Linked DNA regions of Rattus norvegicus. Each later gene encodes a partner of the first gene's protein in a complex. Links are inferred from orthologs where the notes say so. Each region holds a gene or a part of one and is shown in the gene's direction. Other genes may lie near its edges.

Region 1 (3,647 bases):
AGGGTAAGGAAGTTCTCACGTGTTAGAACTTAAGAAGCATGACAAGAGTTAACTTTGTGATCCGAATCTTTCCTTTAATAATTTTTTAAAAAGTAATTTGTCAACTATGTCTCTAGCATGTCATCCGAGCACAGCGGGCCATCAACAACGAGATGGCACACCAGTTATATGTTCTCCAAGTGCTGACCTTTAACCTTCTGGAAGATAGGATGATGACCAAGATGGACCCCCAGGACCAGGTAGGTGAATGATCCACACAAATATAATGAGAAACAGCAAGACAGTGCATCAAATGTCTGCCTTTTAGTGACACTCAAATCAGGAGTCTTATATGATCTTATAATTGTTTTATCAACATCTCAGAACTTGGGTATATGGCTTTAGAATTTAGGTGACCCTAGCATCAGAGAATAAAACAGATGGGCTATTCCATATGTCCCATACACATGCATATTTTTTTTTTACAGTTAAGAGCTTGAGGTCAAAGCCATACTTGACCATACTACATTAAGTGGGGTCAAGTTCCCATTGAGGGCATCAATTCTACAAGTGGGAGTGGTTTCCATTCTCCAGTTACTAAGACCAAAGGCGGTTCTTCCCTGTCCCTGGTGCACCCTCACTTCTAGGCTGGTGTTTTTGTTGGCTGACAAGTTTTCTAACTCTCGGCTACCTCCGTCACTGTGTACAAAACATTCTGTTTCCATCCAGAAGGCTTTGGGGGAGCTTCCCTGCGTGAGGGTAGAGTGAGAGGAAGCAGCTGGGAACCCTGCCCCCACTGTACTCATTTTCAACTCAAACAGTGGTGCAGCTGTGGAAAGGAAAACAGTCATTATTGGCACATGAGGGCCTGATCTACTGCAGATGCTGAGCTGCACATGTGGGACGTGTGGCTGCTGCAGCCCTTCATTCATGGCTTGAGACTGACGAGGTGCTTGGATAGGCCAATGATTGTGCCCCATGCTTTTTTTCTGGCAGCCAAACATGGTAATCTGAGGGAGATAAGACGAGTTATCTTTCTACTTGGAGTGAGGGAGATCGGTACTCTTAACATGGAGCAACACTCTTTATTTGTAAATGCTTCCTCTTGTTTATTGAAAAAACAAGCACATAGCATAATTAATCATTTTAATCACTAACTGCATTCACATTGTTATAACTTCCCTGCATTTATCTCCATGCCTCTTTGTGTGTTGCCAAACTGAATTTCTGTGCCCGTTGAAACCATATTTGCTCTCCTTCCCGTTCCTCCCATCCTTCTGGCTCTTTATAAGTTACCCCTCTGCTTCTTGTTTTTATTAATTTGGCTCTTCTAGGAGGCCTCGATGAGTAAAAAATGTATTTGTGGCTTTTTCTATCTCACCTGTTCTACTCGGCCTATTTAATTTTTTATTATATTTTTTTGTATTTTAGATTGTAGCATATTTAATTACATTATTACCCTCCTCCTTTCATCTCTCCCACCCTTCCTATATACTGACCTTCCTTGGTTTTAAATTCATGGCCTCTTTTTCTTTAGATGTTGTTACATATGTATATAAGTATCTGTATGTGAACTTCTAAATACATAAATACAACCCGTTCAGTCCATATAATATCACTCATATGTGATTTCTGGGCTGGACATTTGGTCTTAGATAACCAGGGGAAGATGATCTCTCTTTCTGTTAGCATCCTTAGTTACCTTTCTCCTTCTCCACATTAGCATGTCCATTGGTGTCATCCTTGTTCCGGTGTTCTTTAAGCAGTCCTGTTGGTGGTACTTCATAGGCGCAGCGTCCCTGACATTTCTAGGAGACACACTCTCTTTGCAAATTTGTAAAGTTCTTCCCTATGGTAATATGTTGATAATTTGCTCCTGGCTAAGGCTAACAACATCCCAACACCACACTCAACCTTGGAAAAACACTTGCCATTGTTTCTGCCTTTGGGCCCTCTCTTTTATTTTTATCTTGTTCTTGTTTCCATGAAGTCAGGCCTCGGTCGAGTGAGAGATCTCTCATAGTTAAAATATTGCCCAAGAGCCATGTGAACATCTCTTAATTTGTTTCAAACAGAATATTACTCAAACACTCTCACGTTTAGCCTTCGCCAACATCAGTCCTTCTGTTGTATTTGAGGCTTTTATGTAGGACCGTCCTAGATAATATTTATCATTGCTCCAAATGGCTTGACTGAGGGATAGATTAATGCTGAGCCTGAGCAGAGAGGAGTCTGGGTTCTCACTGAGGACGCGTCTTGTCTTCTCTCTTCTGCTTCGCCTGAATGCAGTGACTGGTTTAGACTCTGGGCAACAGGTCAGGGGGGAGTCTTCTGTCACACACAGTGAAAGCAACTTTCTTACTTTTTGCCTCTTTTCTTCACCCCTCTAACGCCTTTAGGCCCAAAGGGACATCATATTTGAACTTCGAAGGATTGCTTTTGATGCAGAGTCAGAACCGAATAATAGCAGCGGCAGCATGGAGAAACGCAAGTCCATGTACACTCGGGATTATAAAAAACTTGGCTTCATTGTAAGTACTCTGTCTCCAGGATGCTCTCCCCTCCCACCCTCCCCATCTGACCTCAGTCGTATCGAACGTGTGGTCCTCTTGTGCTTTACAGAATGGTTTCCACATTTCCAGATGTTTAGCTGGTTTAAATAGGATCACATGGAAATCTCTTCTGGCTGCGGTGCAGTGGAATACGTTGCACAAGTGTGACTAATCCTTCGCTTGTTTATCCAGTTCTGATTAAGTGTCATGGAGAGCAGTTAGGCTGGAACACATCGAGCCTTCCTGAGCCTCCTTCAAAAGCCTCCATGGTTCTCCTGAGTGGAATGAAAGATGACAGTTCTAGGAGGCTTCTTATTATTGGGCTAGTGATTGGATTATGCAGATGCATTGATTCCATATTTAAAGAAAGCTGGAAGTCTGGAGTTGAGTCATCATGAGATTATATATAGTTTATGTTTCTTAAAACATCTTATCTTGCTTCAGATGTTAATGGGTTGTTCCTTACACACACACACACACACACACACACACACACACACACACACACACACTTTACAAATCAGAATGCAACATGTGTTGAATCTAACCAGCTGTCGTGGTTGTTGCCTGCTTAGGGATAGCATCACTGTTCTGAGAATGACCTTTAGCTAACTTGAAATTCCGCAGTTGTCAAATTAGGTTTCCATTTTGGCCTCCAACATAAATGATACAAATAGTATGCTGGCTTGAAGGTTAGAAAATACTAGGCAATAGTTTTTATTTAAGATACATTTTTCTCCAAATAAAACAAAACAAACCCTCAGATAGGGTTTTGATTGTGCGAAATTGCTTTGTTATAAGCATCTAGTAATTAGCTTTTTATCTAGAGTACATCAAAGTGACCATTTTTCAACTTTGTAATAATGTCTCTTTAATTTAAAAAAGTTCAAACTATTGATTTTATGGTGTTAATGTCTTTCTGAGTAGAATATTTATTAATAACACATTCATCCTTGCAACTTTCTTAGGAACACTTTTGGGCACTATTTATTTCTCTGTGTTACATCTTTGGTTTTGCCTGTCCATTTGACACTGTAGATGAATTGAGTTGACTGGTGAGACTTTCATGTGTCTTTGTGTCTTTCATGCCACCTCCCCACCTTTGCAGTGTTGCTG
Region 2 (3,647 bases), on another chromosome or scaffold:
AGATGGTTTCATCAGTAAAGCACCTACTGTACAAGCTGGAAGACCTGGGTTAGAATCCATAGCACCCAGATCAAAGCCAGGTGTGACAGCACACATATAGAACCCTAGTGCTGGAGTTGAATGGTGATAGGCAGATTCTGACAGCTCATTGACCAGCCAATCCAGCCAATCTGTGAGCATCTCTGTCTTGAAAAGTAAGGTGGAAAGTGATAGAGGAAGATACTCAATGCTGACCTCTGACCTTCAGATGCTTGCATGTGGCATGTACACATGTGCACATACCCACAAGAGAACAAATATATAACACACAGGGGAGAGGGTAAATGTCTTAGTCAGGGTTTCTATTCCTGCACAAACATCATGACCAAGAAGCAAGTTGGGGAGGAAAGGGTTTATTCAGCTTACACTTCCACATTGCTGTTCATCACCAAAGGAAGTCAGGACAGGAATTCAGGCAGGTCAGGAAGCAGGAGCTGATGCAGAGGCCATGGAGGGATGTTACTTACTGGCTTGCTTCCCCTGCCTTGCTCAGCTTGCTTTCTTATAGAACTCAAGACCACCAGCCCAGGGATGGCACTACCCACAGTGGGCCCTCTCACCGTTGATCACTAATTGAGAAAATGCCTTACAGCTGGGTTTCATAGAGGCATTTCCTCAAGGGAGACTCCTTTCTCTGTGGTAACTCCAGCTTGTGTCAAGTTGACACACAAAACCAACCAGTACAGTAAACATTCACTAATATTTTCTCCCTTTCATATGATAATCTCATTTCTGTATTTTTACCCTGACTTGTTTGTTTGGTCATCAGACTCTGGGAACCTGAGAAGCTAGGCAAAAACGGAGTTGAGGGCTTTGCTAGTGCATTGGAATGAAGTCTTTTACTGGGATTAATGTTTTGTGACTTTTGACCTTCCCGGCTGACAGTTCCATCCTGGAACCACTGTTTGAACGAAGAGCTTCATCAGGTGCCAGAGTTGAAGATCTGCCACCCAAAGAAGACAGTGAGAACCGGATTAGCAAGTTCAAGAGGAAAGACTGGAGTCTGAGCAAGTCACAAGTCATTGCAGAGAAAGCTCCAGAACCTGATATGATGGTAGAGGGAGGGAGGGAGGGAGGGAGGGAGGGAAGGAGGGAGGGAAGGAGGGAGGGATCAGAGCAAGCAAACACCGCTGGTACCTGTTCCTTCACTGCACAGCAGTGAATTATAGATAAAAACCTGGCCGCAGCTGGTCTTAGGACACAGCAGCCTGTGCTGGTGTCAAAGCACAGATGGTAGGAAGAAGTGCATACACAGAGAGGCTCAAGTCTCCAAGTCAACACTGCACAAGGTCTCATCCCCACAGCGGAAACACATGGGCTGCTCTTGAAACTGTGGCTCTTGCCACTGTGTTCCATGAGTCAGTGCAAACATTTTCATTTCACTTTTGAACTTTAAAACAGACACTTTTTCCTCTTCCATAGTCAAGTTCTTGTGTTTGCAAGACCTAGCTTTTGCTGAGAGTCAAGGTAGTTTCCAACTTAGTTGGCTCAGTGTGTGTGGTCACAATCAAGGAGGGGCCAGGCCAGAACTGACCTGTATTTTGGAGTCATTCCCAGAAAGTATCTCTGCCAAGCGCCTACTATGTAACAATGCAGTAACCTTAAAAGTGACCACTGGAGAGGGTGGGGAGGGTCAGTAGGTAAACACTTGCCACAGCAAGTGTGAGGAGTGGGTGGATGTCACGGCTTGCGTGCAATTTCAGTGCCTGGCTAAAGACACTGAGCGGTGTGCTCAGCTATATAGTAGAGTCAGATAACCCAGGGAAGCTGGCCCTCACATGTGTCTGCACCCACACACACTTGAGAACAGAAAGAAGAGGCCATTGGAATTAACCCTTTCTGTTAGTTTCTGCCTAGCATCTAAGGTATTACTAAGGTCAGCCATGTCCGCCATGTTTAATTTTTTTGGTTTCTCCCTTCATCTTCAGAGCCCAGGCAAAAAAACACAAAGGCCAAAGAGTCTCCAGTTGGTGGACAGCCGGCTGACACCATTCCACAGTCCCTCACCTCTGCAGTCTACAGTCTTGAGCCCACCTCCACTCACTCCCAAAGCCATGAGAACCCTAAGTGAGTTTTCCTATGTCTCCTAGATTCGTTCGGCTAGGGAATAGAGAAGGGCCATGAATCCAGGCACTTCTTAATCAAAGCAGTCACAAGTTGTGTGAAGCTGTTTGAGAGGTGATTCCGTCCAGTGGCCATTGGAATCATCAAAGGACTGGAATTTGGGGTACACTTATTCAGTAGCAGTCCTAAGGGTCTGCTGACCCTTTCCAACCACGAAGAGCAGAGTTAGACCCATTCAGGGCAATGAACAGACCCACCTAATAAACCTCTGTCAACCTGAGACCAACCAACTGCAGCACTTGGAACAAACTCAAGGGTTCCCATGGCACAGAGGCATAGGGAGCACACATCTGCCAGTGCCAAATAGGGACAATGATCAAGAGTTAGGTACAGCCAAGTGAAGGTTCCTGCAGCTCCTGTGTATTTCCTAAATACTTGGGGTTCGTCAGAGAGTTCCTAAGGTTAGAAAATATTCTCATCGTCCACTTAAGAGGAAGCATAGGAGTGTGCACATCAGAATTCCATGTGAGGCTTTCTGGTGGATTAAAGAGCACTTGTGGCCATGTGGGTACAAGATCTTCTCCATTCTTTCTATAGAAACCTCGGAAATGTCCACAGCAATGTGGGATCTGAGTAAGTCCTCACTCCGTCTCTTTTGTATCATGTCCAGGCTCCCCATCTTTGCAGACGGATGGGCTGATGGCTTCTGTCCCTCCTCCACCTCCCCCCAAAAACAAACCATACGAGAGCAGTCAGAGGAACTCGGCTGAGGTAGGAACCTGCAGGTTGCTGGCAGTGTGGCCACCAAGCACAACGCCTGGGAAGACATCACGGGATTGTCCACGCTGTGAAGTGGGAAGGGGTTCCCCTACACATGGCATTATATATCCAGTGCCTGGTTCACTCCTGAAGCCTCGGGAGATGGGAAGGGAAACATGCCAGAGGCCTGCTTCACATAGTCAAGTGACCGAGAGAAGCCGCGCTCTCTGCTTCCCACAGCTGGTGGTGAGATAAGTTCACACCAAAGCCTGGCTTCTGAATGACAGGCGGCTGCTCTGCAGTAGACTCAGATGGGTTTCATTCCTCCTTTCAGTAAATATTTACTAAGTGCTTCTTAAGTACATTCGAGCTACCCAAACACTAGTGATGCAGCCATGAGTAAGTGTGTGTGTGTGTGTGTGTGTGTGTGTGTGTGTGTGTGTGTGTGTGTGTGTGCGTTCATCAAGCTCAAGGGAAGAGGACAAATGAGTACCGTTCCCTTTTTCTCTCATACAGATGGTATAAATAAATGCACATCAAACTTGACAGTAACCCAGATGCATGGAGTCGGAGGGTGACTTAGAAATAACGAAGGAACTGTTTCTAATTCCATGTGTCTTCTCCCCAGATTGCTCCCCCGCTGCCTGTCCGGAGAGATGCCAAAGCCCCACCTCCACCCCCTCCAAAGGCTCGAAAATCAAGCATCCTCTCTTCTGAGCCAGGCTCTCAGTGAGGCTGTCACCCTGGCTTTGTACCTCCAAGTGCTTTGGACCACTGCTTCCTGA
Region 3 (3,747 bases), on another chromosome or scaffold:
TGCGGAGCTCTGCACTTGGTAGAGCACCCAGAAAATTGCTTTAAAAAATGTTGATTCTCCAGTAAAATTCTGCGCCCAAGGCCTGGGTTGGAAGCACCAGAGGGCGCCCACGAGGCCGCCCACTCGCTTGTCTCCAGGGCCCAGGCCGGACCTCAAGCCTGGGTGCGGTCCTACCGCTCCAAGCAGCCGCGCGCCAAGGCAAGATCAGGGAACAAGAAGAGCCCCACGTCTTCCCACGCCCCGCCCCCTCCCCAGGGCCCCGCGGAGCCGCGAGGTGCGGAACCACGACACGACATCCTGTTTTGGGGGCCCGCGCGGCTCCGCCTGCATCTCTGCTGATCATGTCTTTTCCCGGGGTGCTGACGGCAGCTGCCCTGCCCCCACCTCTATCTCCCCACCCTCCCCAGGGGTCTGGAACCTTCCCACTGCTGAATCACCAACACCCGGCACTCTCCCAAGGCTCAGGGCAGGGGTGGGGACTGCCCCAGCCTGACCCATTCCGGCTAATCCCTAGCCAGCCATGGCTACCTCTAGATTCCCGGGCAGAGCGGAAGGCATTTCTCAGCCTTCCCGCGGAGGTTGCGGGGCGGGGAGTGAGATACTAGGAAGAGAACAAATGCCCTGCGCCTAGCTTAGGGCCCCTGCTAGGGTGGGATGCCAAGTGAAAGTGGGGAGACCTGACCTTGAGAGGCCACACTCAAGGGGTCTCAGGGAGAAGAGTGGCGGGAAGCAGGGGGTGCAGGACTGTGCGGCGGGCAAAGCTTACAGAAGACCCCAGGCTGTGGAGGGTGGGGGAGGCCGCGGACTTCCTGGTCCGCCCCGCCCGGGCCGGCCCGCCCCCGCGCCCCGCCCCGGCCCCGCCGGCCCGTCCCCCACCCCCCCACTTCCTCCGGCCTCCAGCTCTCACTTCCTTCTTGAGCCCAGAGCCGCCGCCGCCGCCCCCAGCTCCCCCGCCGCGGGGAGGGCACCAGGTGAGGCCAGGGTCGGGCCTGGTGGGCAGGGGTCCTGGGAAGAAGAGTTCAGCCGGTCGGGACTGAGTACCCACGAGCCGGGGAGTTTGCAGGAGGGAGGACGAGGGCGGGAGGTTTTCGTTCACTGCAAGTTGGGCGGGCGCGGCAGGCCGGGCGGGGACAGCGGCCACCGCGAGCCGATCGCTGGTGGCTGGGTTGAGTGTGGGATCCCAGGGACAGCGCGGGCTTCTGCTGTCTGCGAGGGACCCCTGAGATCCGAACCGTGAGAGGCTCGGAAGTGGGAAAGCGCTGAGCTGGTGAGGCTGGGACTCTGCGGTGGGGTGCCCTCCGAAGTTGTGGGGGGTTGTTCAGTAGTGTGTGAAAGGAAAGGGCCTCTGGGCTGCAGAAGGCGCGCTCTCTGCTCTGCAGTTGTGACATTTGTGAGACTGGGGTGTGGGGGTTGGGGGGCGGTGTCTGGGGCCTCTGAAGTCTGAGACTGCAGAGAAAGGTCTCACCCGGGAAGGTCGGAGCCAGTCCATAGCTACACTGTTGCTGCTGAGGATGAGGTGGGGGAATCCCCATTCCCTCTCTCAGTTTTTTTCTGAGCCAACCTCTTTATTCCTATCCCATGCAACAACAGGTATTTAGTGAACACGTCTGTTGTGTCTATCTGACTCAATCTGGCCTTGCTTTTTTTTTTTTTTTTTCCGGATAAACCTAGGAAGGAAAGGGCCTCCATACCGATAGTCGCTGACAACTTACGGGACTTTGAGAAGCAGCTGGAGTTCTGACTTAGGGGAATGATTGAGAGCTCTTAAGACGTCTCCCTCACCTGAATTCCACATACTGTCTTCCTCCACTCTCCTTCGTGTCTACCACATTCTCCTTCAGTTTCTTTTCCCCCAGCCACATTGATGTATGCAGGCCCTGATACATTTACTCTGCCCTGTTGTTTTCTGCTCAGTTCTCTGCTCTCTCCCCATTCCATCTCTTCCCATCCTCTGACTGCCACACACATCTCTCCCCATTTTGTTTCTGTCTTCCCTGCCGCCCTCAGTCTTTCTCCTTTCCTTGGTCTGTACTCTAACTTTGGTGTCAGAAACTGCTTTAGACTTGCTGACTTTAGGAGCCTTTTTCGAGCCTCTTTAGCTTAGTGGAGATGCTGGCTGCAGCCTTCCAAGGATGGAGATGATTAAAGGGCTGGAAACATGTGCACACGCGCGTGAACATGCAAGTTCTGGTGTGTCAACATCTTTATCTCTTAGAGACAAAATAACTATCTGCCCTCAGCCTTGAGAAGTCCCAGAGCAGAAGCCGGCAGAATGAAGGGAACCTGCGGTGGGTGACACTGTGGTTAGGCAGGGGAAGCAGTCTGTAGCAGCCAGAGTTGAGTGACACAAGAATAAGACTAGTTAGAAAGTCCATGGGAAATCAAACTACCCTGATTCTTCCCAGTCTCCTAGCACTTACTGATTCTAAGGAGTGGGGAGAGTGTGTTGGGCCATTTGGTCTGCTAGGAAAAGGAAGGGGGCAAAGGCAAGATTCTGGAGGGAAAGCTGCAGCAAGTCTAACTTAAGTCTCTACTGTTTTTTTAAAATTTTGATCAGGAAAGGGCTTCGAGGCAAGGGTGTTTGTCCTTCCTCCCTGCTGCTCGGTGGGGACTGCAGACATTGGGTATCTACATTTTCTGGTGTGTGTCAATGCCTTCACTGGGAGTTGTACTGACCCTCCTGTCTTTAAGCATCCGTGATGTTCTCTTCTTACCAAGGTCTCTATTCCCGCTCTCTGAGGGGTTTCTCCAAAGTCTAACGTAGTCTGTCCTGGCCCTGTAAGTGCTTGTCTCCATTCTGGAGCCCCTCCTCAGCCTTTGGATTACATGCTCAGATTTTGTTTGTCTCTGCCTCCACTGCTCTTCTTCTCTCCATGAGAATAAAGAGAAGTGGAGGAGAGCAAATGTCACATTTGGGGGATCGTCGAGCACAGCTAAATTTAAGAGCTAGGCTCCTTCCCTTTCCTATCCTCTTACCACCTCACAGTTGTCCCTCTCCCATCAATTGTTCCTTCCTCTGGGCCTGCCCTTCTCCACCTGTCTTTCCTACTCTCATTTCTGGGAGGTACAGAGGTTTGGCCCCACGGAGGAAATCCAAGGGATCTGTATTAAATCCCAGCTCGGGAAAGGATGTGCATACGGCACATTTTCTTGGCATCACAGCTCAATAAAAGTCGTCAGGAGCCCTGATTCTTAGCTTGACAAACCAGTACTGAGTTTAGCATTTGGTATAACTAAGCAACCCACAAGGCTCCGAGAGCAGAGATAATGGTGGCAGTAACAGGGTTTTTTTCTCTTAGGCAAGATCTGGCCACATTGGAAATTTGAGCTAATTGCAAGAAGAGTGTGACCAGGATGGGAGGAATCTAAGTAGGAAAACGCTGTGGATGGTTAAGGTAATATGAGAAGTGGTAGGGTGACGATGCTGCTCGTCCTGCTTAGCAGTCTGGGCTATGGAGAGTCGCTTCAGGGAAGATGTTAAGGCAGATGATAGTAGCTATTGAGGGGCTATGAGCAAGAAGATACAAAAGGCTGTGGTTATATGGGCAGCTGTGAAGATACGGGTGATAGTAGCTGGAGAACAGAGAATACAGAAGGGTGCTGGGCACAGTCTGAAAAACCTCTTCTTTCATGTAGCGTCGATCCATTAGAGGTGAGGTTTGTAGGGGTCTGTGAGAGGACCTTCGAAGGGAAACCAAAGACAAAGCCTGGGCCACCTCCCCAGATCAGACTGGTTTTCCTGTCCAG

The links.
Region 2: the proteins of Elmo1 (region 1) and Dock5 are in contact, whole or in part, in a cryo-EM structure (PDB 8JHK), measured with the Homo sapiens proteins. The link is inferred for Rattus norvegicus from reciprocal best matches to the Homo sapiens genes ELMO1 and DOCK5. Residues at the interface, in NP_001193409.1 of Homo sapiens: Ile7, Val8, Lys9, Ala11, Tyr18, Pro19, Leu21, Glu23, Glu36, Asp39, Gly40, Ser42, Asn71, Gly72, Gln392, Asp393, Leu400, Glu401, Lys468, Arg531, Glu535, Leu536, Lys539, Leu547, Gln550, Gln551, Asn554, Arg555, Asn582, Thr688; in NP_079216.4 of Homo sapiens: Met1, Ala2, Arg3, Trp4, Val14, Ala15, Ile16, Tyr17, Asn18, Ser22, Gln23, Gln30, Ile31, Gly32, Asp33, Thr34, Glu39, Tyr41, Gly43, Trp44, Arg46, Tyr48, Lys56, Ile58, Pro60, Glu61, Thr62, Tyr63, His65, Leu66.
Region 3: the proteins of Elmo1 (region 1) and Rhog are in contact, whole or in part, in a crystal structure (PDB 7Y4A), measured with the Homo sapiens proteins. The link is inferred for Rattus norvegicus from reciprocal best matches to the Homo sapiens genes ELMO1 and RHOG. Residues at the interface, in NP_001193409.1 of Homo sapiens: Lys9, Val10, Ala11, Glu13, Tyr18, Pro19, Leu21, Met22, Ala54, Asn71, Gly72, Ile74; in NP_001656.2 of Homo sapiens: Val36, Phe37, Asp38, Trp56, Tyr64, Arg66, Leu67, Leu70, Ser71, Pro73, Gln74.

Annotation. Positions count from the first base shown.
Region 1 is NC_086035.1:49,305,090-49,308,736, reverse strand, and holds part of Elmo1 (engulfment and cell motility protein 1), read left to right. Parts: intron 1-116; coding exon 117-239; intron 240-2,378; coding exon 2,379-2,510; intron 2,511-3,647. UniProt on the Homo sapiens protein: Involved in cytoskeletal rearrangements required for phagocytosis of apoptotic cells and cell motility. Acts in association with DOCK1 and CRK. Was initially proposed to be required in complex with DOCK1 to activate Rac Rho small GTPases.
Region 2 is NC_086033.1:46,159,476-46,163,122, reverse strand, and holds part of Dock5 (dedicator of cytokinesis protein 5), read left to right. Parts: intron 1-924; coding exon 925-1,093; intron 1,094-1,967; coding exon 1,968-2,106; intron 2,107-2,773; coding exon 2,774-2,874; intron 2,875-3,490; coding exon 3,491-3,595; 3' UTR 3,596-3,647. UniProt on the Homo sapiens protein: Guanine nucleotide exchange factor (GEF) for Rho and Rac. GEF proteins activate small GTPases by exchanging bound GDP for free GTP. Along with DOCK1, mediates CRK/CRKL regulation of epithelial and endothelial cell spreading and migration on type IV collagen.
Region 3 is NC_086019.1:166,039,400-166,043,146, reverse strand, and holds the start of Rhog (rho-related GTP-binding protein RhoG), read left to right. Parts: upstream 1-945; 5' UTR 946-971; intron 972-1,012; exon of another isoform or gene 1,013-1,267; intron 1,268-3,299; exon of another isoform or gene 3,300-3,395; intron 3,396-3,747.